Linked DNA regions of Arabidopsis thaliana. The protein of the gene in region 2 interacts with the protein of the main gene of each other region in a pairwise test. Each region holds a gene or a part of one and is shown on either strand. Other genes may lie near its edges. The genes, in order: SUVR4 and AT1G12630.

Region 1 (13,838 bases), on a different chromosome or scaffold from region 2:
TGGTCGGACGGAATCTGAAACCCACCGGATTCACCATTTTTCGAGAGTGAATAAAGTTTCAGTTTTAAAAAAAATGGAGAGAAAAAGAGGGATCAGAAGTATTTCGCCATTGTTGCTATTATGCAAGTTCTTTTGGTAGGAGGGAGAAGACGGATATATACACAATTTTCCTATTATTCATGAAATATTGAAAAACAGATTCCCAAATCCACAATTGACTTGCTAATATAAGAGTTATATACAAATTTTTAGGCTCTACTTAAGTCTGTTCACACAATTGATTCGCCCTAAACATATTTCTAATTGCGTAACAAAATAGTGTGAATCACTTGAATTCTATGTTTTTTAAAACAAAACCGAACAAACACAAGAACCAGTGAATCAAATCACAAGTTTACGATAGACTAAAACACTGAGGTGACAAACTGGCACGAGAAACGAAGGTTCTTATAAGAACTAGAATCAGCTTTAAGGCATAACAAAAGTCTAAGACAAAAACAAAAAACAATCCCAAATAGAGATAATGCTAAACGTTCAACACAAAACATAGAGATCTCAAGCTTGCTTAAACGATGGCGTTCGCAGCACTTGCGATTCTTGGCCACAGATCAGCACACTCCTTTCCGATTGGTCCAGTGATAGCAGATCCTAATTACATCACACAACAGACTCATCAGCTACAAGTAAATATGATACTACTGATTTATCACTACGAGATTGGCTTTGAGTTGCCCCATATCAAACTTCTAGATAAATTCAGATACACAATACTTCCTCTAGTAACTACTAACTCATCAGGAGGTTATCAAAACTTGCATACATAAACAACTCATACATCTACCAGAGAATTCAATAACAAATAAGCAAAAACATCAACTTCTTACCTTTCATTTCACCCTTGGGATTGACAATGACACCAGCATTATCTGCAAAACCAAAACTTTCTATCAGACAATCACACTTCAGAGAAATTGAAATGCAAATCACAGAGAAGAAAAGCAAAGGATTACCTTCGAAATACATGAAGACACCGTCCTTTCGGCGCCAAGGCTTCCTCTGCCTAACAATGACAGCAGGAAGCACCTTCTTACGGAGATCAGGCTTACCTTTCTTAACAGTAGCCATAACCATATCACCAACACACGCTGATGGCAAACGGTTAAGACGACCCTTGATTCCTTTAACCGAAATGATGTAAAGGTTCTTAGCTCCGGTGTTGTCAGCACAGTTCACAGTGGCTGCCACTGGAAGACCCAGTGACATCCTGAACTTGTTACCAGAGGTTCCTCCTCTTCCTATTCACAAAAAACAAACACAAAAGTTACAGATCTAAACACTATCAACCAAAGTAGAGACATATAAGACTAATATTCATGATCCAGAAGCTTTACTAATAGAAATTAGGGTAAAACCATTGTCATTGAAAGTGAAATGAAGAAAATAAGCGAAAACAGGATATGATTCATACGAGATGTACACAGATTAGGTTAAGCGAATTAGAGATGAAGAAACGTTTTTTTACCTCGCTTCGACATGGTTGCAGAGTAGCAGCTCTCTCCTTGAAAGAGTTTCAATGGCAGCGCCGAGAGGGTTTATATACGCTTGAACTAGGGTTTTCTTCATGTATTGTGAGCTGACCTGGACTTTATTTTATGGGCCGAAATAATTTAACAATAAGCCCAATAATGTTCTCTTTCTTTTCTCATCATCTTTTTTTTGGAAATCATCTTAGGCCCAATATATCATAAAGGATTTTGAATTTTTTTATTTTTTTTATCAAAAAGGATTTTGAATGTAAAATTTGATCGGCTAGCAACATACAGAGATGGACATTTTTGTCTCCACCAAAATCACAACTGTAATCATCTTCTCAAAACCAAAAATAAAAAAGTAAAGTGTTGCATGTATCTATCTTTATCTGTTGATAAATTAGGATTGCTATTTTCAGTTGCAAGTTAAAACAATCGTAGAAGCTTTTTACATGGTTTTGATGAAATGACAATTGATTTCGGTTCGGGTTTGAAATTACATGTGATTTCTGTTTGGTTTAGATGGTTTTGAAATAAAAATTAATTTTGGTTCGGTTTGCATTAGAATTAATACGGTTTTGAGAAAAAAAACAAAAGAAAAAAGTCACTCGAGGCTGTTTTGGAAACAAAGCGAGTAGATGTAAAATAGGCATGATTTTGTGGGTTTACCCCTACAGAAATCGACGACACGCGTTCAACGCGAGGTTGGTGCGAGTGGGCATGGAATGGAGCGCGTGGCGCGAGGTTGGTGCGAGTGGGCGAAGTCCGGAGCGCTCTGATTGGCTGAAAAAATAGAAATAATGTTGATGTAGCTCCTCCTCTCCTCCTCTATTATTAATTTTTCGTCATTCTTCAGTTCTGAAAGTTGTCTGGTTTTAAGATGCAATGAAATCTTATTCTATAACCTTTTAAAAAAACGAATATATCTAATTATATAACCTTAAAAAAAAAAAGAATATATCTAATTATATAACCTTGTTCTAATTATTAAGTCCTCCTTCAATCTATTAGATTATTCGTTTTTTTTTAGATTATGAAATAAATTATTTTATTCTTATTATTACTTTTTCAAAATTTTATGTTTGTTGAAACAACAGTAGTTTACATAGCAATACAGATACAAGGGTATTTTCGTCATTTTCCAAAACGACATAGTTTTCAGGAGCTGAGGGAGGATGAGGATGATAAATTGATAATAATAAGAATGAAACATAAAATTTGTATGTTTTTGGTTATTTTGAAATCATTGATTAATGTCACACAAAAAAAAAATAGAATGGATTTTGAGATAATAAAATTTTCATTTTCATTTTGTTCTGCAGACATTGAAAACTAGATTCAGCTGAGCCCTTAAGAAATCAAAGTGAGTTGAATATTTTTCTAAAAATGTGAAAATTGGTAAAAGTTTGTCCTCATTTTGCTAGAAAAAGGATTCACTTTAAAGTTAAAAGAATAATATAAAGCTTGTTTGGAAATCTCAGCATTGCACTACCGTTGCTTGCAAATCTAGAATCTGGATTTTAAGATACTTCCGGTGCTCTTGTTCATGTTTGCACCAATGGGACTGTTTTGGTGACACATGGAGGTGTTGAAATGGGTTAAGGATATGCATACAAAGGTTGCTGCAGCGGCCTTTAACATTCCCCTTAGTTCGGTTTTTGTGTCAGAAACAAGCACATACAAGGTACCTCTAACTCGGTTACATGTACTCTGTGGACTTTGGCCAAGACAAAACTGTTATTGTTCTCTCTTATCATTTTTGTCGTCTCTTAATAGGTTCCAAATGCCTCACAAACTTTTATTGCTCTCTTGTCGTTTTGATTGCCTCTTAATAGGTTCCTAATGCGTCACCTACTGCTGCTTCTGCGAGCTCTGATATGTATGGTCCTGCAGTTTTAGACGATGTTAAGCATATTATAGCAAAATTGGAGCCTGTTACATCTAAACACAATTTCAACACCATTCGCTGAGGGTAGCTTTCGAAGAGCTCAAGTGGGGAGATGCAGCTCATACATGGATTAAACCATGAGCTTTACTCACTTGCGGACCTGGAAACTAAAAAATACCTTAAGAAGATGCTTTACTCACAACATTCCCTTTCTCTTCTCAAGGTATGCAACCATAAGAAGAAGCACTTCTGAATTGGTAGAAACAAATTTGGAACTGATGAACCTAGGATTATACTTTGTTTAATCCGAATAGAAATGTTGGTCAAAGTCATATATGTAAGTAACTTCCAGTCTCCAGTACATGTAACATTACAAAGATATAGGTTTCTTCAAATCAGTAACTTCTTGGAGAAAAAAAAACAAAGAATGTAAAATTTGATAGTTCCAAAAAAACTAGCAACAATGTATAAATAAAAATATAAAATATGTAAATAATTCTTCTATGATGACCAAAATAAACCAATAAATTACAACTTCTAAGTCTAAATATTAAAATTTTGTTTAACATTACAAATCATTGATGCGATGGATCACTCTTGGCTGAATTTACCAGTGATGGGCTCCTTTTCGATCCAGTCTTTACGCTCTAGAACTCTATTAAAAAAGGTTTATTTATTTTGACATATGCCATGAAATTTGAAGAACAGAACTAAACAGTGAGTTTCTTTGGTTAGGCAACATAACACTTTTTTTTACCTAAAGAAGAGATTGTAAATGAGAAAAAACTGCAGACCATAAAAGTTGTATATGTCATCAAGAAGGAAAAGCTAGTTGAATCATGCAGAGCTCGCGATGGATCATAGTGTTTTGTGAGCTCATGCTTTCTTTAATGTTTAACTCTAAATAATGACCAGTCTCATTTGCGCTTTTTAGACACCTCTTTGGAACCTGCATTTTAAGAATTGGCGGTTGTTACCTCAACGACTGAATCATACACTTTAGAGAAATTCTAAAGGATCTCAAGCTTTAGGCAGGGATAATTGATGCTAAGCCTCTAAGGTTATATCATCTTAGACATTCTTTCTCACCTTGTTGTTTTTTAGCAGAAACAATCTTTCTTCTCTCTATAGACTTGCCTTGAGATCCTGACATGACATATCACCGGAATGCATAATTAGCCAAGAAATATAGTTTCTCTTTTTTTGGTGGCATCATTTCATTTCTGTGAATCAATGTACTTTGCCAAATCATATTTTTGGCTCGGATCTCATACGAAACTACACAAAATCTAACTTAGAATGTGTAAGCAAACGAAGGAAGTAAGCCAGCATTCTGTCACAAAGGTTTGAACAACAAAAGCAATGTGTAAAGAAAACTGACCTTTTATTTTTCTGTCTCTGCATGATTCGCTTCCGCAGCAACATCTAAATGCCTTTACAGGATGACTTTTATCATTGAAGTCTATCATGTAATCCTGCGATTAGAAACACAGGTTTTTTGAATTGAGTATCTGTACAACTCAAGAGAGGATAACGTTATGGGACCAGTAGAAAGACGTGTTTGGTTCCATCTCTCTATTGATGAAGTCATCTACAAACACACCAGAGATCTAGAATGGCAAAATCATCAGAATGCTCTAATCTAATAGCTTTAGTGCAATATCCACAGTAAGAGCGCAAAACTTCTTTAGCCATGTGAGTATTTGTAACTATGTGGTCAATACAAAGTAGTTAAAACTAAGGTAGCTTAATCATGGTGCTTACCCATGTCAACTCATCCATGGCCTTCACGTCTCGTAGGGTAAAAAAAGCAATCTGCACATGACCAAACCCAGACTCCTTAAGCTCACTGAAATTTACTTTCACAATCACTGCTTTCCGGAAGATCAGGTTAGAGTGGAGAAAACAGATACTTACATGATAATAATGTCTGTCAGGCGTCTCTATCTCTATCGGAATATCAATCATGTTTGCATCCTCGCATCTGCATCAACAAAAGTTCACAAGAACCATAAACTCTCAAGGGAAGCACGAAAAAATCATAGCACAACGAGCGTTGATTAATACCTGTGATTGATAAACCTTGCGACATTTCCACAGATTGTGGCATCCAGGCAGAGAGCTTCTTCATCTTTTAGATCCTTTTCAGAACCCCAGTCTGCATCCAGAGTTACAGGATATGTATGTCGTTCACTACTAGACCTAACATTCCGATCGTATAACTCCGTGTTGGTCAATATTTCACCAATGTATTCACAGATAAAGGTTCCTTTGGGCAAGTCTTGCAGTGTTCTAAGACCCCATCCTTTCCCTTCTTGAGTAAAGTAAACCTGAAACAATATATTTTGCTCGTCAAACAAATGAAAGGAGAAAATAATAATTCAAAAAAAACGGGGAGAAAATCATAGAAATAGTTCAAAATTATGAGGGTGCCAGACATCAAGCCAAGAAGCTATATAGAAGACTAATTTAAAATAGGATGGTCAGCATATAAGATTGAATGTAGTATCCTAGAAATGTAACCTGCAGTTGGCACCTTATCCCTCTCTGTACTACTCGATTTCCACACTGCATATCACATCCACACTTTCTCCAGCATTCCTTGATGAACTTTCGGATTAAGTGTCCATCACATTTTCCATATGTGCCCTTATCGTGATCTCTCTCCAAAGGGCAGTCTTTGCAGTAAACTTTAGGGAACGAATCTGGTTCCTTTTTCATCTTAAGACAGGTGTCCAGAAACTTTTCCTTTAGCAGCCCTTCTTTGGTATAAGCATATTCTCCACTGGTTTCACGAGCACAAGTGCAAGGAAAGTCAGCTGAAAGACAGTTCCCTTTGCAGTTTGCGCAGCAATCTTCATCAGAGATTCGAGCCAGAGACACGTGGAGATAAGCACTTTGGTAAACAATGTTGTGAGGGATGTAAGTAAACTTTGGCACAGCTTCACTCCCAACATCATCGACAAGAGGGATTTTAACGCTCTCTGAACCTTTAGTTATGTCAGCAATTCTGCTTTTATATTTCCTCTTGCGATCACCATTACTAAGCTGTGGCTGCTTCTGGACTACCTGAATGGAGGAACCTGAGGATGCAGAACGGGTTTCGTAAGTTTTTTTCAGAGTAGCAGGAGAGTCAATGACCTTAAGATTCTTCCCTCTATTACCATTAGATGAACCTTCACTTTGCTTATTCTCATCCTCAACAGAATAAATAGCGTCGACCAGTGCAGTATAGTTATCCAACTTTATATACGACCAATTGCCACCAGCCTCTTCTAGGAGCTTCATAAGCACTGGCATTGTCTTTTCATCGGGAATATCCAATTGCCTTGTTCTCTCTAAAGCTTTGAGTACCTTCTCGTCTTTATTGGTGAGCATCGCTTGTTGCATATCGAGATCACTTTCAACAGAACCTGCAAATACACACTAAATATCTTAATTGGTAAAAAATGCCAAATTACTAGTTTTCTAGTGATAAAATATAATCTGGTTCATATGTATGAAACTGCTAATCACCAAAGTAAAGACACATCAATGCATCAGCTATCCTTAAAGATCTGCGAATTTTGAATAAACCCAATCCTTATCAACAATCATCCAAAAATCTCACCAATCAAGAACCCTAAAAACAGATTTATGCCAATTCCAAACAAAACAAAAACGGCGATCTCATCAAATCGACAAAGACAGATTCCAACATTTTTCAAAATTTCAAGCTTAAACCGTTCTGCAACTCGCGGAGTAAGAACCCACATTGATCAACACAATAAGAAAAGAGAATGCATGAGAAAAGCAAAGAGAATGCGTAACATACAAACAAAAAACCTTACTGGTTAGTCCGGAGAGACTGATCATACAGAACAATCGGAAGCTTCTCGAATCCAGCCGCCGCCGGCTAAAAAACACAATTGTGGAAGAAGACGGCGAATGATTGCATGCAAAGAGTTCGAACTTTCTGTGAAAGCTTACGAAATTAATAAATTAATCAATTTTCGAATTGATAAATACCCTAAAACAGATCCATTTTAAACACACTTTTCCACAGTATCTCTGTTTCACTGCGTCGTGCGTGAGTATACATACAATTGTTTATAGATTTTGTTTTTCCGTCGTGGACAGATTTATTTCCAGATTTATTTCCATGATTGTGTAGGTCCATTAAAATAGGCCCATTGACTAAAAAGCACAGCATAATTAAATAAAAGTTATGGGCTATAACGTGATATGTATTAGTTCTGGGGGTTACAAAACATAAATATATAATCTTCTTACTTCAAACGTCGTACTGTAGTTATTTTTTTTTTTTGTTAAAGCAAACGTCGTAGTTATTAAAGGATGTTATATAACTTTTAGGGCAAATAGTTACATGATTAATTACGTATCCTACCACTTTTATTTCCACAATCGAAAAATGGAAAGAAGGAGGTTTTCCTTGGTTGGTAGAACAAATACAAGGAACAGAATTATTTTCCCAACATCTCTCTGATCATGTACCCTTCAACAATCTGCAATAGGATAATTAATTAGTCAATTCAATTTTGTATGTACATAATTAAATAGTTAGAACATTTGTGTAAGAACTTCATAAACATGGGATCTATATAATTATAAGTTTCTAATATTTTCGTTTATAATTAGCATGTTTCGTTTATATTAGCATGTCTCTACATTATAATGTTTTCAAATTAAAAAAAAATAGAGTAAAACGATATCAAATCTAATAGTAATAACTTACCATCTCCTTTTTTCCGCAAGCTTTTTAGGAACATAAAAAAGATAGCAACAAAGACCAATGCCGCTACTCCTCCTACAACAATCGCCAACGACTTCCCCGTGTTTACTTTTGAACCTTCTTCTGTCAAAAGAAACAATTCGCAACTTAAGTACATAATCAACTGATATTTGTTTTGGTTCAGTTTTCTTTAATAACTGTACGTACCGTGGTATGAATCATTGGGAAGTTCATGTGGGTGATATGTATAACCGACGTGGCACCCTTCTAAGTATATTTGTCCGGCTATGGACCACCGACACTCTTCTGCTGCTGCTGCCGCGGCTGAACTTATGCACTCGCCGCAATCGCAAGCTTCAACGTGGCCGTCGCATTGAGCCACAACGTGGAGGAGCTTGTAGCTATCCTCATAGAATCCGTGACCGTCAACAACTCCTGTTTCGGCTGCAGTGAGTGCCTCCGTCCTCATCTCTTCGAATCCGGGGAAAGTCTCCGCGGTAGCTCCATCGCATATCTTGTGGATGAGACCGTGTTCCGGGGTCTCAAATAACTTGTACTTGTGATGATTATTAACTTCTTCCAAAAATAACAAGAATCATATTTATTTTACGTAATGAATCGTTTACTTTAATGTGAATTCAACTTAATTTGTTTATCACTATCCTTCAATTTTTCTCGCGAGTGGAAAATTTATATACCTAAGAAATAATATATTTTTTGATAAAAGTATAAGAAATTTTACTATAAGACCAAATAAGTAAGAAATTTTCCAACCATTTTTTTCTGTACACGATTTTATGATTTTTTGTCAACAACAAAGATGAATACTTACGAGCGCCAGGGGTATCAATACGTTCGAATTTGTATATCAAATGACATCCTCGAAGATGAATACGAGCTGACGTGGCATTTCCACACGATCTAGACGAAATTTCACGAAGATCACCAACACATTTATGGCAGATCTCACTCGGATAATCTTCTCTGCATTGGAACCATCCAGAGACAGCGTGTTTTTCGTTACCAACTAGAGTCTTCAAGAATTTAGATCGAGAGGATTCTGATTCGAGTTTGCGTAAGAAAGAAGAAAGGGCTTGTGCACGAAGAAAGAGATTCTGATTCGAGTAATTTGGAGATTTTGTTGTTGCTTTTTGGAGGATGTTTGCGTCCAATGGATCGCATTGTTTGAAAACAAGAGTGTCGTAATCAAGTTGAGAAGTGTTGATGATAGAGGGAAGAGACAGAATGATTAGGGCTAGGGTTTGTGTGAGGAGAGAGATCAAGTGGACAACCATGTTTGAGTCAAAACTACAGGGAAGAGAGATATATTTTTAATTCATTGAATATATACATTGGTGAATGGAGAGGGAAGTTGTGGTAGATTAGATTTTGTCTACGTATGTCTACCACTTGTCTACATATGTTAAAGATTTAGTTGTGACTTAGGAGGTCGTCAAGCGCACGTGCTAAGCACACCAACGATTTCTTGATCTTTTCTTCTTGTTGGTATGAATATGATCCTAGAGGTTAGTTTAACAATTTTCTAATGATTTTATGTATAGTGAAACAGTAATATTATTCACAATTTGTGGAACTGGCTGATCCAAAATATGTTAAAAATGACATTCGGCTACTAGCGGAGGTCTGATTCTTAGCCTAACCCTTATTCAATTCTTTTAATACTACTAGTGTTGGTTTGAAGTAAGAGAATAATAATGTACGTAAATGTATGTAATTTGAAAGTAAGAAAAGCTTTCGATGAAGTCTTAGACAGTAACAAACTAACAAACATATCCGCTCAACTAAATTTACCTAACAAATTTCCATAGTTTTCAACCAAGATTTAAATTAAAAATACACTGGAAATTCTAAACAACCCTAAATTATGTTTTTTTTTTGTTGTGTGAGAGCGAAATAGTCGGAATTAGAGTAAGACCAATCAAATTTTAAATATTTATCGTAACTTTTATTTCAAGTTGCTTTATATGATGTCTTGAATCTCAATTGCCTTGCCAAGAAAAACAAGCGCTGACATATATAAAAAGCCTAAAATTACAGAAGAAAAATACAAAGAGCTAGAAGAAAAAGAAATTCCCCTGTTCTTCCGTAAATATCGTTAATTCGTTATGACAGAGTTTCATTCTCTTTGACTAGATCTTTATTTTTTTCTTTACACCGATACAAGTCAAAACTCTTAACAAACAAATATTTAGATCAACATAGACCAAAGAGTCAAAGAAATAATGTCTGTCTCCATAAAGTCTCCAACTTTTATAACAAATTTTCCGTTGAATATGACAGTAAATAAACCAACGGTCTAGTTCTTATCATGTCTAAAAACCACAAGCTCCTTCCTCATCTTACGCTCCCCTCTTTACCTCTCCTTTTATTCTCCTTCTCATTCTCCTCTCAACAACTGATCGTATAATCATTCTCACGGAGACGAGTGACCAAAACAAGGTCTCCCGCTTCTTGCGAAGATTAAACGAATCCATTTAGATTTTAAAAACCACACAAAAAAAATATGGGTCGGCTCAAGTTCGCATGTCCGGTTCTTGAGATCAATTTAATCTCAGCTCAAGACTTAGCCCCTGTCTCAAGAAACATGAAAACGTATTCCGTCGCTTGGATCAACACCGATCCTATGAGAAAACTCACCACGCGTGTTGATCAATCCAACAGAGCTAACCCTATATGGAACGAGAAGTTTGTGTTTCGTGTCAACGACAAGATTCTCTACGTTGACGCATCAGCGATTGTGATTGAGATCTACGCAGCGGCTTGGGCTAAAGATGCTCTTGTTGGTACTGTGAATGTTCTTCTCAGCGATCTTTTTGCTCCTTGGTCTGGTTTTGGTGATGGTAACGACGGTGGTGGTGGGAATAACAACATGAGGCTTGTGACTCTTCAGATTCGTCGTCCTTCAGGGAGGCTACAAGGGTTTTTACGTCTCGGTGTTGCACTTCTTGACGGTGGTCAACGGAGTATGCCTTTATCTATTGAGGTTTTCGATGGAAGTCGAAAAGGAGAGAGGAATAGTGTTAAAAGAGACCAAGAGGCTTCAAGAATGATGCATCGCCGTACGAATAGCGATCAAACGGATTTAACCACGTCTACGAATGATTACGGTGTGAAAACAGGGGTTGTTACTGGCAATGGAGGAGGAGGTGGTGGTGGTGGCGGTATTGTTGTTGGTGCGGATAGTATGGTTAATGGTTCGCTTTGTAGCTCTGATATTGGACCATCAGCGTCTGTGGTTGCGGCTGCGATTGCGCAAGGGCTTTACAATAGACAGAAAACAGCGGTTAAAGCGGCTAACAAAGAGGACGCAAGTTCGATACTTGAAGGGAAAACAGAGGGAATTGAGCATAGAGTTGAACGGTGGAGAGCAGAGAAAAATGGCACGGGTGGAGCGGGTGGAGCGGCTGGATCAAGCGATGATTCTAGCGGGAAAGGAGGAGCGGGAAGGAGAAGAAGGAGGAGGAGAAGAAAGGAGAAACAACAAGGGAGGAGAAACGGTGGAGGAGAGGGTAAGAAAGGGTTGTTTTCATGTTTTGGAAACGTGTTTGGATGTGAGATTTCGATAACATGTGGCGGTGGAAGCGGCGGAGAAGGAGACAGCACAAAGAAGAGATATAATAACAATAAAGTAGTAAATCTTAGTGCTGTAGACGAAACGTTTAGTCATTCTGCGACTTGAGATAAGAGAAAATGTTTACTTATTTTTGGTTTCTTTTGGTGGTGTAAAACGTTTGATGATGGGTTAAACCATACAGATTTGAAAGTATTGAGGTTAAAACGTATGAATAAACTTTCCCGTTACATTTCTGGTAAATGGACTAATTTGAATATTTGTATAATACTGGGGTTATTGTGAAAAGCTTTTAAAGAAAGGGAAAAGAAAAGAGAGCTTTTTGAGAAACGCATTAACACACCATAACTTCATCATCAACCTTCTCCTCTTTCTTACGCAATTACAACTTCAACGCCTCTCTATCTCTTCGCCGTGAATGTCGAGATAGTCGTAAGCTCTCTGCTTTTCAAATTTCTCTCAAATTGAGGTAGAGAGAGAGGGCACAGAGATAGAGAGAGAGGGGCATAGGAAACGGTGATTTTCCCAGTTCCCGGAGGAACAATCGGCTGATTTCTCTGTAATCGAAGAATCTAAACCTCACCCACTCGAAATCAGCTCGTGGGTTTTGGGGGGTCTCTATTAATTTCCAAATTCTGGAGAAAAATCTTGTATTTCTTCAAGATGTTTGGGTGTGATTGTTTTTACTGGAGCAGAGGAATCTCCGAGTTGGATTCGGAATCGTCCGAGCCAAAGCCCTTCTCACTTCCGGCTCCTCTTCCTAGTTGGCCGCAAGGTACAAAAAACTTTCTTTACTGGAAATTGCTAATTTATCTATAATTTCAAATTGAAGTTGCAAGATTCTGTATATGGAATTGAGTTTTTCAGCTAGGCTTGGTCTAATCAAATAATTGAGCTGACAAGTTATAATATCGATACTTTATCTTTCATGCGTACATAAGATAAGGTTAATTATTTATGGATCCTTCCTTGGTTAATGACAATCTTATCTAATTGTTTGGCTTAATTTTATATAATTGTTTAGAGAGAGAATTAATTTCTGGTTTATTGAAATTTGAAAGGGTAGACTGAGGAAGATGCTTTGGAATATTCTGCATGGGTTGTTCCGTTGTCTACTTGTCTTGTTCATTCTTCTTTGGTTGACTCTGATTCAAGATTTTTGTATACACAAGTTAATTTCAAGCCTTAAAGAGACTTTCTATTTTTGCTATAATTAGATATGATTGGTTTTGTTAAGTTTTATTGGCTCAATAATGTAAGCAATGATAATGTTGTCTCTCTGATCATAGAAAAAAAGGCTCTATCTTAAATGTGTTGAAGAGTAGATGGATATGGTATCATGTTATTTAATACTCTTCTATGGGACAAAAACTTAAGTTTTGTTTGATGGAAATAAATCTCGGTATTGGTAATGAATTTGAAGCTGATGAATTTGTACTTTTGAATGCATCAAGCTAAGCGCCTTCTTGTTTTACTGTTTCAATCTATCAATTGTTCTATATAGAAGTGTTTTTAGTTCTTTGATGCTGAAAGTGATGTACTTTTCTGTTACTGTCAATCTCTTTGCAGGTAAAGGTTTTGCCACAGGAAGAATTAGCCTAGGAGAAATAGAAGTGGTGAAAATCACCAAGTTCCATCGAGTTTGGAGCTCTGATTCATCACACGACAAATCAAAACGTGCTACATTTTACAGAGCCGATGACATTCCAGAAGGATTCCATTGCCTTGGTCACTATTGCCAGCCAACCGATCAGCCCTTGAGAGGTTATGTACTTGCAGCTCGGACTAGCAAAGCCGTCAATGCTGATGATTTCCCGCCCTTGAAAAAGCCTGTGAGTTATTCTTTAGTTTGGAGTGCAGATTCAGAGAAAAATGGTGGTGGTTATTTCTGGCTACCTAATCCTCCGGTTGGTTACAGAGCAATGGGAGTTATTGTAACCCATGAACCAGGTGAACCTGAAACAGAGGAGGTCAGATGTGTAAGAGAGGATCTTACAGAGAGTTGTGAAACCTCTGAGATGATACTTGAGGTGGGTTCTTCGAAGAAGTCGAACGGCTCTAGTTCTCCTTTTAGTGTATGGAGCACCCGACCTTGCG
Region 2 (11,271 bases):
TTTTTGAAGAATATAAATCCATTAAAAATTTCATAAAAAATACCACTATATTGTGTGATTTTAGATAGAATATTAAAAAGTTGTAAAGCTAAAGTTTATAGAACTTAGTGACGGATATGATTAAAGAAAAGCCACATGGTCACCTCTCTTATTAACCTCTCTTTTGTCCGTTTCAGGTAAAAACATTGGTGTTAAAACCTTTTGCACCATCGTTTTGGCGTTATATCTTAAATTAGAATTTTAACACAAATAATATTACTAATTCGTGTTTCAAGTAAGAATTCTTATTTACTCTCCATACGTTAAAAGCTTATATGTATATTTGAATTCGATAAAATGATACTTTATGCATTTCAAAACAGAATATCATTTTATCATCGTTTCTATTTTTCAAAATAAGTTTTTTCTTAATATTTCAATATAAATAAATGTTTGTGTTAAGTACACAATATATGGTCTTACTCTTAAGTAAAACCAAATTACAATGAAAAACTAGAATATACCAAGAGTTTATTTAATTTGATTTACAAATACATAATGAAATGTTTCACGAGTTTTGTAATTTCTATGAAATTTATCAAAATGACAATAATTGTAAAACAGATGGAGTATATAGTTAAGACTAAGATTTTAATACAAAAATATATCACTTTATTAGCAAGATAGTGTCACAATTTAAAGAAAACGACAAAAAATGACCCAGTAAGAAAACACCACTCATGTCTATACATATATGGCAAAACCTTTACAACAAAAACATATCTAAAAAAGGAAACTCAGGAACATCAAAACTTTTTAAAAGGAACACTAGATGAATATAATATATGTATCATTGTGTGAATAAGCATCAATCAATCGATTGATTCATATGAAAACATATATATCACTACGAGACGAATTAAATGGAATATAGATCGCTGGATGGATTTCCGAATATATATCTGAGCAACGAACATGTGACGAAAAATAGATAGATATATGTTGTGTATGTAGAAAAAACGCAAAAAAATGATACATAGAAAGTCAAAAGACTCGAAACAAATTGATCATGGGTTATATAAGAAAAAGACTAATCTCAATAAACAAGAGAAGAAATTCCACAAAGATCATATATTCATATTATACTCATCATATTTATTGGATCTTTGATTGACAAACATGAAACTTTGCCGAATTAAATTGCGGTGTTATTTAAAAAAAAAACCTCCGTTTTTATGTTCCACCTGAAGATATATATATGTCAAAGACTTTTTTTAGTTCATGTATATAAGGAGTAGCTATTATATTAAATATTCATAATCTCATCTTTATATTGAACAAAAACAAACTTAAGAACATGAAATATATTCTTGACTAAGAAGATGCAAATAGGAATAAGAGTAATAATTGAAATCAAAACGTGAAGTCGCGAAACTAAAGGAGGATCACTATAAGGCTAATTAAGCCCTAGTTGATAACCCTAAAAACTCCAAACGCAAACCCTAATTCAACGATACAAGAAAGTAGAAACAATCTTAAATAAAACATTAAACATATGATTTGATATATCATACAAGTGAAATAATTAAGGGCGGAAAAAAAAAAAGCAACAAGAACAAATAATGATTACATATACGTACGTGGACAACACAAACCGATCAATAGCCCCACAAGTCCTCATCATTTGAATTCTCCGGAGAGTCATCCGACGGCCGAGAACCCATCCACGACGGCGGCGCAACCATCATCCCTTCTGCCATATTAGCCAGCAGATTAGGCATATTCAAGACTTCTTCTTCGTCCATGAACTCTGTCCCACACCACGACGAAGATCCAACATCATTATCTACGTGGCACTCACGCGCTCTCGACTTCGAACTACTACTCTTCTTCTCCTTTGCCTTTTTCTCCTCCTCCCCTTCCTCACATCCCTTCATTGCTGCTGCGGCTGCCGCAGCGGCTCGTATATCTGCTGCGGATGTTGATTCAGGAACCGGGTATGACCCGACGGATCCAGGGAAGTTCAAGACAGCTTCTCTTCCTTTAAGAGCCATAGCAGCCACATCATAGGCGGCTGCTGCCATCTCTGCCATGGGGTAAGTTCCAAGCCAGATTCTCGTGGTTTTCCTCGGCTCACGAATCTCGGAGACCCATTTCCCACTTCGGCACCGGATTCCTCTGTACACCGGATCCTTTCTCCGGCTACCTAAGCCGGCAGAAGCCATTGAACTATTCATACTATTAGTCGTATATTAGTAGCAAGCCGGAGAAGGGTTTTCACACGTGGCGAAGAAGGATTTGTCACACGTGCGAGGTGGCAAACTAATTAAAGAAGATGAAGAAGTTTTGGGTTAAGATCAGGGACATTTGGTATGATTTATATGGTGACCATCAGCCACATATATATAGAACTGAAAGGTAAACAGTATATAGATATGTGTTCTGTATATCTCTGTAAAGACGATTATAATTGAATTAGTTAGGGTTTAGTGAGAGATTGATATTCAAATACGAAATGAATCAAGAAAAGGGTTATTTCACTAATATTTTCTTAACACACAGTTGTTATTCTCTTTCACTTTCTCACTTGGGGTTGTCGAAAGTGTGTTGGCTCTTGTTGGGGGTTTTTTTTTTTTTTTGTCATCATTTGTTGGGGTTATTTTTGTAATAATAATTGAGTAAGAAAAAACTATAATTTATACTATATATATATCTCGTATTTAGAAAAGAAAAAGAAAAAAAAAACATATATATATATATATATATATAATTTATACTTTATCCGATAAGTTATCTTGTTTAGTTACTAGTTAATATTTAAGGCTGTAAGCTATATATAATCAATACAAAGCATATAAACATATATATTTCGAAATATATGTTAATACTTAAGCTATATTAATCATATGAAGCATACGCATATATTAGTTGAAAGATGCATATCGAAGGTTCAATTTTGTTTTGGTTTTGATTATCATATAAATTCATTAAGAATGGTTGACGAGAATGCCACAAACAAAGTTGATCACATAGACATATCCGATATAAGAGAAAAATGACTGAACTACATAAATTAAGAAAAACTTATATATATATATATACTTTACAATCGACTATAATAACATCGCTGTTAAACAAATAGTAAAATCTAACCTACTAACTATAGCTACATTAGAAATGCTAAACCACCGGAACGATAATGCAAAATTAGGGTGTCCAACGGGCTTCGACGAATATTGGCTTGGAAGGAAGTTAAAAACCCACAGTAGTAAATGCCATCTTGGTGAGAAACATTCATAAAAATAAAATACAATTTCTCGGCCCGAATCAACGTCCTTAACCTCTCCTTAACCAAAAAAAAAAAACATTCATAAAATAAAATGTCAAAGATATGGTGGATCTTGGGAGAGTTCATATCCAACATTGAGATTATGATGGATCTTCTCGCAAGTGGACGATAGTGTGATGATTCTTGGAACCGAATGTTAAAGACGAAGTCTTTCACTTTTACATACGGAAACAGAAGCGTTGATATGAACAATATCGAAGTTTTTGTCACGGGAGATGTATTATCAGGAATTTAATCTAGATGTGTAATTAGTCAACTTGGTAATATCTCCTTGTTTAGTGTTTTCTCCAACATCTTAAACAAGTTTAGTGTGCTTCGATATATATCATTATTTTTCTCTTTTTACTTTTATTGATGTAGTTAATTTATGGTAAAATTGTTTAGCTCGATCTTCAAGGATCAAATTCAATCCAATAAATTCGTCCTTTTTCAAATTGGGTAACCACTAACCAACCAAAAAAAAAAAAAACTTTTTGAAGTTCAACGTGGTCGATAAAAAAAAACTATCCTATTAAGTATTAATCTGGTCGACAAAGAAAAAAAAAAACAAATTCATTTTATTAAAAGGAGAAGAAAAAAAAAACATTTTATCAACAACTCCGAATGAAACAGAAGGTTAAAGACAACCCGGTTTTATCTGATCCGGTACATTCAACCCGGTTCTTCAAGCATTCTCGAATCTAAAGATTTCAGGTTTCTCATTGCTTCGTTCTTCGTATCGATGTGTCTGGGTTTTCTTTTCTGTAGATTTAGTGCCACCTTGTTGGCGAATTGGGTCGACAATTTCGATAACTCGCTAGAATTGGAAGGTTTCAAGTTTTCACTTTCAAGGTACCCATATATAGCATCGTTGTTGAAATTTCCGAATCAGAAGTTCTTAAAGCTTAAATCTTTTTGTTTTATTGTGTGTGAAAGAGGTGTAATGAGCAGACATTGGTGCTTGTGGAAGCCGAACAAACGAATCAGCACAAAACCGAAGACGTGACTCCAATTTTTTTTTTTTTAAATCAGAGCTTTCAAATTCTTAACTTGAGTCATGCGGGGATTGATTCAGACACGTCTTCTCGAGACAGGTACTCTAAGAACTGCTTTATTCTTGTCTTGCTATGGACGAGTCTTTTCTAGTGTCAGTGATGGGAAAGGGAAAGTCTCCTATAGAGAGAGATTGAGAAGTGGGATTGTTGATATCAAGGAAGATGATGCTGTTGATCTGTTTCAAGAAATGACTAGGTCTCGTCCTCGTCCTCGTCTTATTGATTTCAGTAGATTGTTTAGTGTTGTTGCCAGAACAAAGCAATATGATCTAGTGTTAGATCTCTGCAAGCAAATGGAATTAAAGGGAATTGCGCATAACCTCTACACTCTGAGTATTATGATTAATTGCTGTTGTCGATGTCGTAAACTCTCTTTGGCTTTTTCTGCTATGGGGAAGATCATTAAACTTGGGTATGAGCCTGATACAGTCACATTTTCAACTTTGATAAACGGATTATGTCTCGAGGGTAGAGTTTCCGAAGCTCTGGAATTAGTTGATCGAATGGTTGAAATGGGACATAAACCCACTCTCATAACGCTTAACGCTCTGGTCAATGGACTTTGTCTCAACGGTAAAGTCTCTGATGCTGTGCTTTTGATTGATCGAATGGTTGAGACTGGCTTTCAACCCAATGAAGTAACTTATGGACCGGTTTTAAAAGTAATGTGTAAGTCCGGCCAAACTGCCCTTGCCATGGAGTTGCTCAGAAAGATGGAAGAAAGAAAGATCAAGCTCGATGCAGTCAAATACAGTATCATCATTGATGGTCTGTGCAAAGACGGGAGCCTCGACAATGCATTCAACCTTTTCAATGAAATGGAAATCAAAGGGTTCAAAGCTGATATTATTATCTACACCACTCTCATTAGAGGCTTTTGTTACGCTGGTAGATGGGATGATGGTGCCAAGTTGCTGAGGGATATGATCAAAAGGAAAATCACACCAGACGTGGTCGCTTTCAGCGCGTTAATAGATTGTTTTGTGAAAGAGGGAAAGCTTCGAGAGGCTGAAGAACTGCACAAGGAGATGATACAACGAGGCATATCTCCTGATACTGTTACGTACACTTCTTTGATAGATGGGTTTTGCAAGGAGAACCAGCTAGATAAGGCCAACCACATGCTGGATCTGATGGTTAGCAAAGGATGCGGTCCTAATATCAGGACGTTTAATATCCTCATAAATGGATATTGTAAGGCTAATCTGATTGACGATGGTTTGGAACTCTTCCGCAAAATGTCTTTGAGAGGAGTGGTTGCAGATACGGTTACTTATAACACTCTTATCCAAGGATTTTGTGAATTGGGAAAACTTGAAGTTGCCAAAGAACTCTTCCAAGAGATGGTTTCTCGTCGTGTTCGTCCTGATATTGTGTCCTACAAAATTTTGCTCGATGGGTTGTGTGACAATGGGGAACCAGAAAAAGCGCTGGAAATATTTGAAAAAATAGAGAAGAGTAAGATGGAGCTTGATATTGGTATCTATAACATCATCATTCATGGGATGTGCAATGCTAGTAAGGTGGATGATGCTTGGGATTTATTCTGTAGCCTCCCTCTCAAAGGAGTGAAGCCCGATGTCAAAACATACAATATAATGATTGGGGGACTGTGTAAGAAAGGCTCACTGTCTGAAGCAGACCTGTTGTTTAGAAAAATGGAAGAGGATGGGCATTCGCCAAATGGTTGTACATACAACATACTCATCAGGGCACATCTTGGAGAAGGTGATGCAACCAAATCAGCTAAACTTATTGAAGAAATAAAGAGGTGCGGGTTCTCAGTTGATGCTTCCACGGTAAAGATGGTTGTCGATATGTTATCGGATGGTAGATTGAAGAAAAGCTTTTTGGATATGCTTTCTTAGAATTTTGGTGTTTACATCATATTACCGTCTCAGAGCATTGAAAGACTAAGTTGGAGTTTCATATGTGACAACATTGATGTACACAACATTTTTCTTAAGCAGATCGACCACCAAGATTTATAACCATTCTCCGGGCATGAAAGCAAGCTCATAATTTCCTTATCACTCTGTTCATCTGTCTACATTGCTTTTCAGATTGTACTTGCTAAATTCTGCACAAATATGTATAGGTAAATGATATAATTTGTAGCTTAAACACACCATCGCTATCAAAAAACAAAATTAGAAGAAAAAAATATAATCGGAACCGAGAATGATCATGTGATCCGTCTTGGCAACACGATGGAAATCGCTGGAATTGAACAGGATACCTACATCCTAAATTTGCTGATAAATGCTTTCTGTCACTGCTCGCAGCTGAGATTTGCTTTGTCTACATTAGCGAGAATGTTGAAAGCTGGCCATGAGCCTGATGTGTTCACATTTACCACGTTGCTCAGGCCTTTTTGTCTTGAGGAAAATGCTTCTGTTTATGATGCACCAACTTTGTTTAAGAATATGAAAGCTATGGGTTACAAACCTAATGTTGTGACATATAACACTGTCATTAAAGGTCTGCTTAATGGTAATATGATTTCTCAAGTGCCTGGTGTACTTGATCAAATGTTTGAAAGGGGTTGTCAACCAAATGCAGTTACTAAATCTACATTTATAAGCGGACTCTGCAAGCAAGATCTTCATGGAAGTGCCATATTGTTGCTTAGAAAAATGGAGAATGATAACGAAGATGTCACAACAAAAAAAAAAATACTCATTCACATCACATAATTTGTGTCAAAAAATTTAGTGATATTAATTTTAATCACTTATTTATAATTAATACAAATAAATATTTAACATCAGTTACAATGATTAATGCTATTATTGATATATATGGCATCATTTTATTTAAACTGATACAAATCTAGAACATTTGCATCACTTTCACAAAAATTGATACAATCCTAAGAATTTGCTTTTGCATGAATAACAAATGATGTTAATTAAAGATTAAGCATCAATTGTAAAAAACGATTTAATAGGTTACTTAATTTGTCAAAGTCCCACATCGCTCCCATGAAAAAAAGAGACAACTATTTTTATTGTATACAAAGTGTAAAGTTTAATAAGCAACTATTTCTACTAAACAAATATAATCGTTACTTTTATATTAATTAATAAAATTAAATAAATTTGTTTACTAAATATATATTTAATATGATTTTACAAATTTTAACATTAGTTATTTATAATTGATATAAACACTTAACATTACTTATTATTACCATAACAATTATTAACGTTATTTTGATAAATTGATGCAAATACTAATATCATTTATATTATTTGTGTAAAATTAACATCATTGTTTGCAATTAATGCAAAATTATTTGAAACGATGCACATAATTTGCATCACCAATTTCAGAGTCACTTATAAAAGTGATATAAAACTCATTTGCATCAATTATAATTGATGCAAATATAAAAAATAAGCGATTCAAAATACTTTTTTTTTGTAGTGTGTCAATTATCATGTTCAGTGCAATCATTCACTCTCTCTGCCAAAAACAACAACTAGATGAAGCATTGAAACTTTCAAGTAAAATGGAAAGAAAGGGGATAAGAGCAAACACGTAATTCTGTAATAGTCGGTCTTTGTCGTAATGGCAGATGGGATTGCGCTCATAAATTGTTGAAAGAAATGATTTAAGAAATTTTCCGTAGTTTGTCTACTAAATCAACAAAGATGTTGGCATTGGGAGGGATTAGTTAGGAAGTATATAATTTGCACATTGTTTTATTTTTTTTGACGTAGCATATTATCATTGCTGACATAACTTTTATTTTTTTTTGACAGATTGTTTATCATTTGATATCTTATAAAGTTAATAATCCAAAAAAAAATTGTTTAGTTAGTAAGTTCGGCAAATTACTAATACACGGAATATACATATAATTGGCTATAATGAACATTAAAGTATTCACCTAAAATATATAATCTTTTTTGTTTTTGAACAAAATAATCTTAACTCTTTAGCCTTAATTCTTGTGGCCACGCGCATGTGACACTCACGAGACAGCATGAAGCCTTAATTCTTGTGGCCGACGTTGTCTCCTTGTCTCTCTAAAGTTTTCACTTTATAATTTCAACATTTCTTTCTGTACTCTATCTCGTTATCAAACATTCAACATCAGCATCGTCACTATCGTCTATTACTTTGCATGAAAGGTTTTTAGCGAGCATCTACAATTTAGAGGAATTCATTAATTCACTAAACATTCATTTTTTTAATTAATTGAGACTAAAATGTGATAAATTAAACTTGCATGTTAATGTATTCTAATAGATCTCGAGATATGCATCACATTCTTTCTGTTTCAACTGAACGATCAATGTGGTAATTTCTATCTTCTGTTTAATACCAAAGTTTGATTTATTTTTTCTTTCATAATTTAGTTTTTTCTTTCATAATTTAGTTTGATAAAAAGAGGGATTTAATGAGTTTTAATCACCACATGTTATGTGCAAGTACTATCGTAGTAGTACTAAGAAATAGTTCCCACGGAAATCCCACGTGTTACTCACAGCTAATTTCCTTAGTATCGAAATGAGGCACGTGTTATATCCACAAAACAAATATCGAAATAAGATTCTAATTAAAATGGATATTTTGGTCCCAAAATCTCAACATGGTAGAGCTGGACCCAACTACCCGAATTTAATACTATTAACTTGTAAAAGTTAAACTAAGCCAAATAGTTATGTTTGACCAAAAGATTCCAAGAATGTTCTTCGTCTCGGTATTTATTTTAAAACCATTGGCTGGCACTGATGAAATATGGGAGGAAAATGGATAATTTTGATATCGTATTTCACCACCATTCATAAAATATCAAAACGAACATAACGATTGTATATAAATGAACAGAAAACCCAATAAATTTAAGTGAGGTGATTATTTTTATGGTATAAATATTATCTATATGATTCTTGCCCAATGTAATATATTTTCATTTTTCGTTTCATATTTCTACATTTCATTTTTTCTTTTCTTTTTTTACATTTCATATCCTTCCATCGTGCAAAAAAACAACGATGATCAAATAATTTTGTCGTAAACGTTTTGATAGTCAAATTTATATAATTAATCTGATTTTGTAAGAAAACCTTTTCCTAGTTTTGAATTTCATCTTTTTGTTGCAAGATACAGTTTTAGTATTTTTTTAAATGAAATTGCAACAAAAAGATGAAAAAGCTAATATCTGACTAAAACTGTAAGAAGATTGTTCATCTTGTGTCATGTTGAATTCAGGAAACTTCTTCGTTTATTTTAGTTCTAATAGCCATAAGCCATGCACTCTTACTTGTGAGATTATAATCATATATTCATATTAGACCAATCCCGTAATTTGGTAAACAGACCACAAAGGGAAACACTGTTATAAACTATAAATTATACTACATGTCAGTCGTAAAACGTATGGAAAAAACTAATATATATATGTATATATATGTCAGTCGTATGCACTTAGGTTGCGAATTTGTAGACTGATGACGAAAACTACAGTTAAATAAAATGTGCCAAATTAACTCCTACAATGTTTAAAAGAAGAAACACTTTTTTAAGAGGGTTCTTTAATTAATTAGTGGGTTCAAGCTCACACAATTAATAAATTCTAGACAGAACTTTAGGTTATAACGGCTAACAGCTAATAAATGCATTCGTGGATAAGATTACATGTGTCCTACGCGCGTATACTTCGTATACTGTGGGTCCCATAACCATAGCCTATATATACCCCTCTTTCTCACTTCTCTGTTTCTCAACTCCCAGCAAAAACAAAAAACAGAGCCTAAGTCAGAAGAAAGACTCTTAATTCGAACAAATCTTTAATCTTTTTTTGTAACTAAATACTTACAAGAAAAAATAAACACGTTTTCAACAGTAATTTAAGTTAACCGGAGTCTCTTTTTGTTTTCCGGCGAATTTTTGGTACTTTGAGTTATGAATAATGATGATATTATTCTGGCGGAGATGAGGCCTAAGAAGCGTGCGGGAAGGAGAGTGTTTAAGGAGACACGTCACCCAGTTTACAGAGGCATAAGGCGGAGGAACGGTGACAAATGGGTCTGCGAAGTCAGAGAACCGACGCACCAACGCCGCATTTGGCTCGGGACTTATCCCACAGCAGATATGGCAGCGCGTGCACACGACGTGGCGGTTTTAGCTCTGCGTGGGAGATCCGCATGTTTGAATTTCGCCGACTCCGCTTGGCGGCTTCCGGTGCCGGAATCCAATGATCCGGATGTGATAAGAAGAGTTGCGGCGGAAGCTGCGGAGATGTTTAGGCCGGTGGATTTAGAAAGTGGAATTACGGTTTTGCCTTGTGCGGGAGATGATGTGGATTTGGGTTTTGGTTCGGGTTCCGGCTCTGGTTCGGGATCGGAGGAGAGGAATTCTTCTTCGTATGGATTTGGAGACTACGAAGAAGTCTCAACGACGATGATGAGACTCGCGGAGGGGCCACTAATGTCGCCGCCGCGATCGTATATGGAAGACATGACTCCTACTAATGTTTACACGGAAGAAGAGATGTGTTATGAAGATATGTCATTGTGGAGTTACAGATATTAAGTGGGACTCACATATCTACTATACATAATATTTAGCTTTTATGTAAGAGGTATTTATGTGAGTTTTAAGATTGTAGATGTGTCCCAGGCGTTAGAAGTTTCCTTGATGGTATGGAATCTTTGTACCTATAAAATTATAAAATTATTGGGCTTTATGAATCTTAATATACAAAGCCTAGGCCCAATTTGTAACTACAACGTGACAGTTGTAGAAATAATTTTTTCACAGTGTAATCTACTTGTAAGTTGTAATAGAATTAAAGGGGATTTAATCAAATCTTGCTGGATACTAGCACATAAATCTTGACAGCAATTGACCAAAAAAATACAGTTTTAACTTGCGAGTATTATAGTTATACTCTCT

The links.
Region 1: the proteins of AT1G12630 (region 2) and SUVR4 interact in a two-hybrid assay, tested with the Arabidopsis thaliana proteins (one large-scale study listed by BioGRID).

Annotation. Positions count from the first base shown.
Region 1 is NC_003074.8:1,155,036-1,168,873, reverse strand, and holds SUVR4 (SET-domain containing protein lysine methyltransferase family protein), read right to left. Parts: upstream 7,509-13,838; 5' UTR 7,273-7,508; coding exon 7,248-7,272; exon of another isoform or gene 7,232-7,247; intron 6,844-7,231; exon of another isoform or gene 6,831-6,843; coding exon 5,941-6,830; intron 5,748-5,940; coding exon 5,485-5,747; intron 5,402-5,484; coding exon 5,335-5,401; intron 5,233-5,334; coding exon 5,182-5,232; intron 4,893-5,181; coding exon 4,799-4,892; intron 4,564-4,798; coding exon 4,507-4,563; coding exon of another isoform or gene 4,484-4,506; exon of another isoform or gene 4,418-4,483; intron 4,367-4,417; coding exon 4,335-4,366; 3' UTR 3,897-4,334; downstream 1-3,896. Other genes in the region: AT3G04410 (NAC (No Apical Meristem) domain transcriptional regulator superfamily protein), read right to left, coding at 1-37; emb2171 (Ribosomal protein L14p/L23e family protein), read right to left, coding at 566-648, 885-926, 1,011-1,295, 1,523-1,535; AT3G04390 (Aldehyde oxidase/xanthine dehydrogenase, molybdopterin binding protein), read left to right, coding at 3,109-3,213, 3,365-3,499; PDLP4 (plasmodesmata-located protein 4), read right to left, coding at 7,915-7,922, 8,153-8,272, 8,357-8,725, 8,982-9,444; AT3G04360 (Calcium-dependent lipid-binding (CaLB domain) family protein), read left to right, coding at 10,674-11,849; AT3G04350 (vacuolar sorting-associated protein (DUF946)), read left to right, coding at 12,405-12,516, 13,311-13,838. UniProt on the Arabidopsis thaliana protein: Histone methyltransferase that converts monomethylated 'Lys-9' of histone H3 (H3K9me1) to dimethylated 'Lys-9' (H3K9me2) in the absence of bound ubiquitin, and to trimethylated 'Lys-9' (H3K9me3) in the presence of bound ubiquitin.
Region 2 is NC_003070.9:4,289,842-4,301,112, reverse strand, and holds AT1G12630 (Integrase-type DNA-binding superfamily protein), read right to left. Parts: upstream 2,448-11,271; 5' UTR 2,217-2,447; coding exon 1,638-2,216; 3' UTR 1,542-1,637; downstream 1-1,541. Other genes in the region: AT1G12620 (Pentatricopeptide repeat (PPR) superfamily protein), read left to right, coding at 4,365-6,230; AT1G12615 (pentatricopeptide (PPR) repeat protein), read left to right, coding at 6,573-7,058; DDF1 (Integrase-type DNA-binding superfamily protein), read left to right, coding at 10,279-10,908.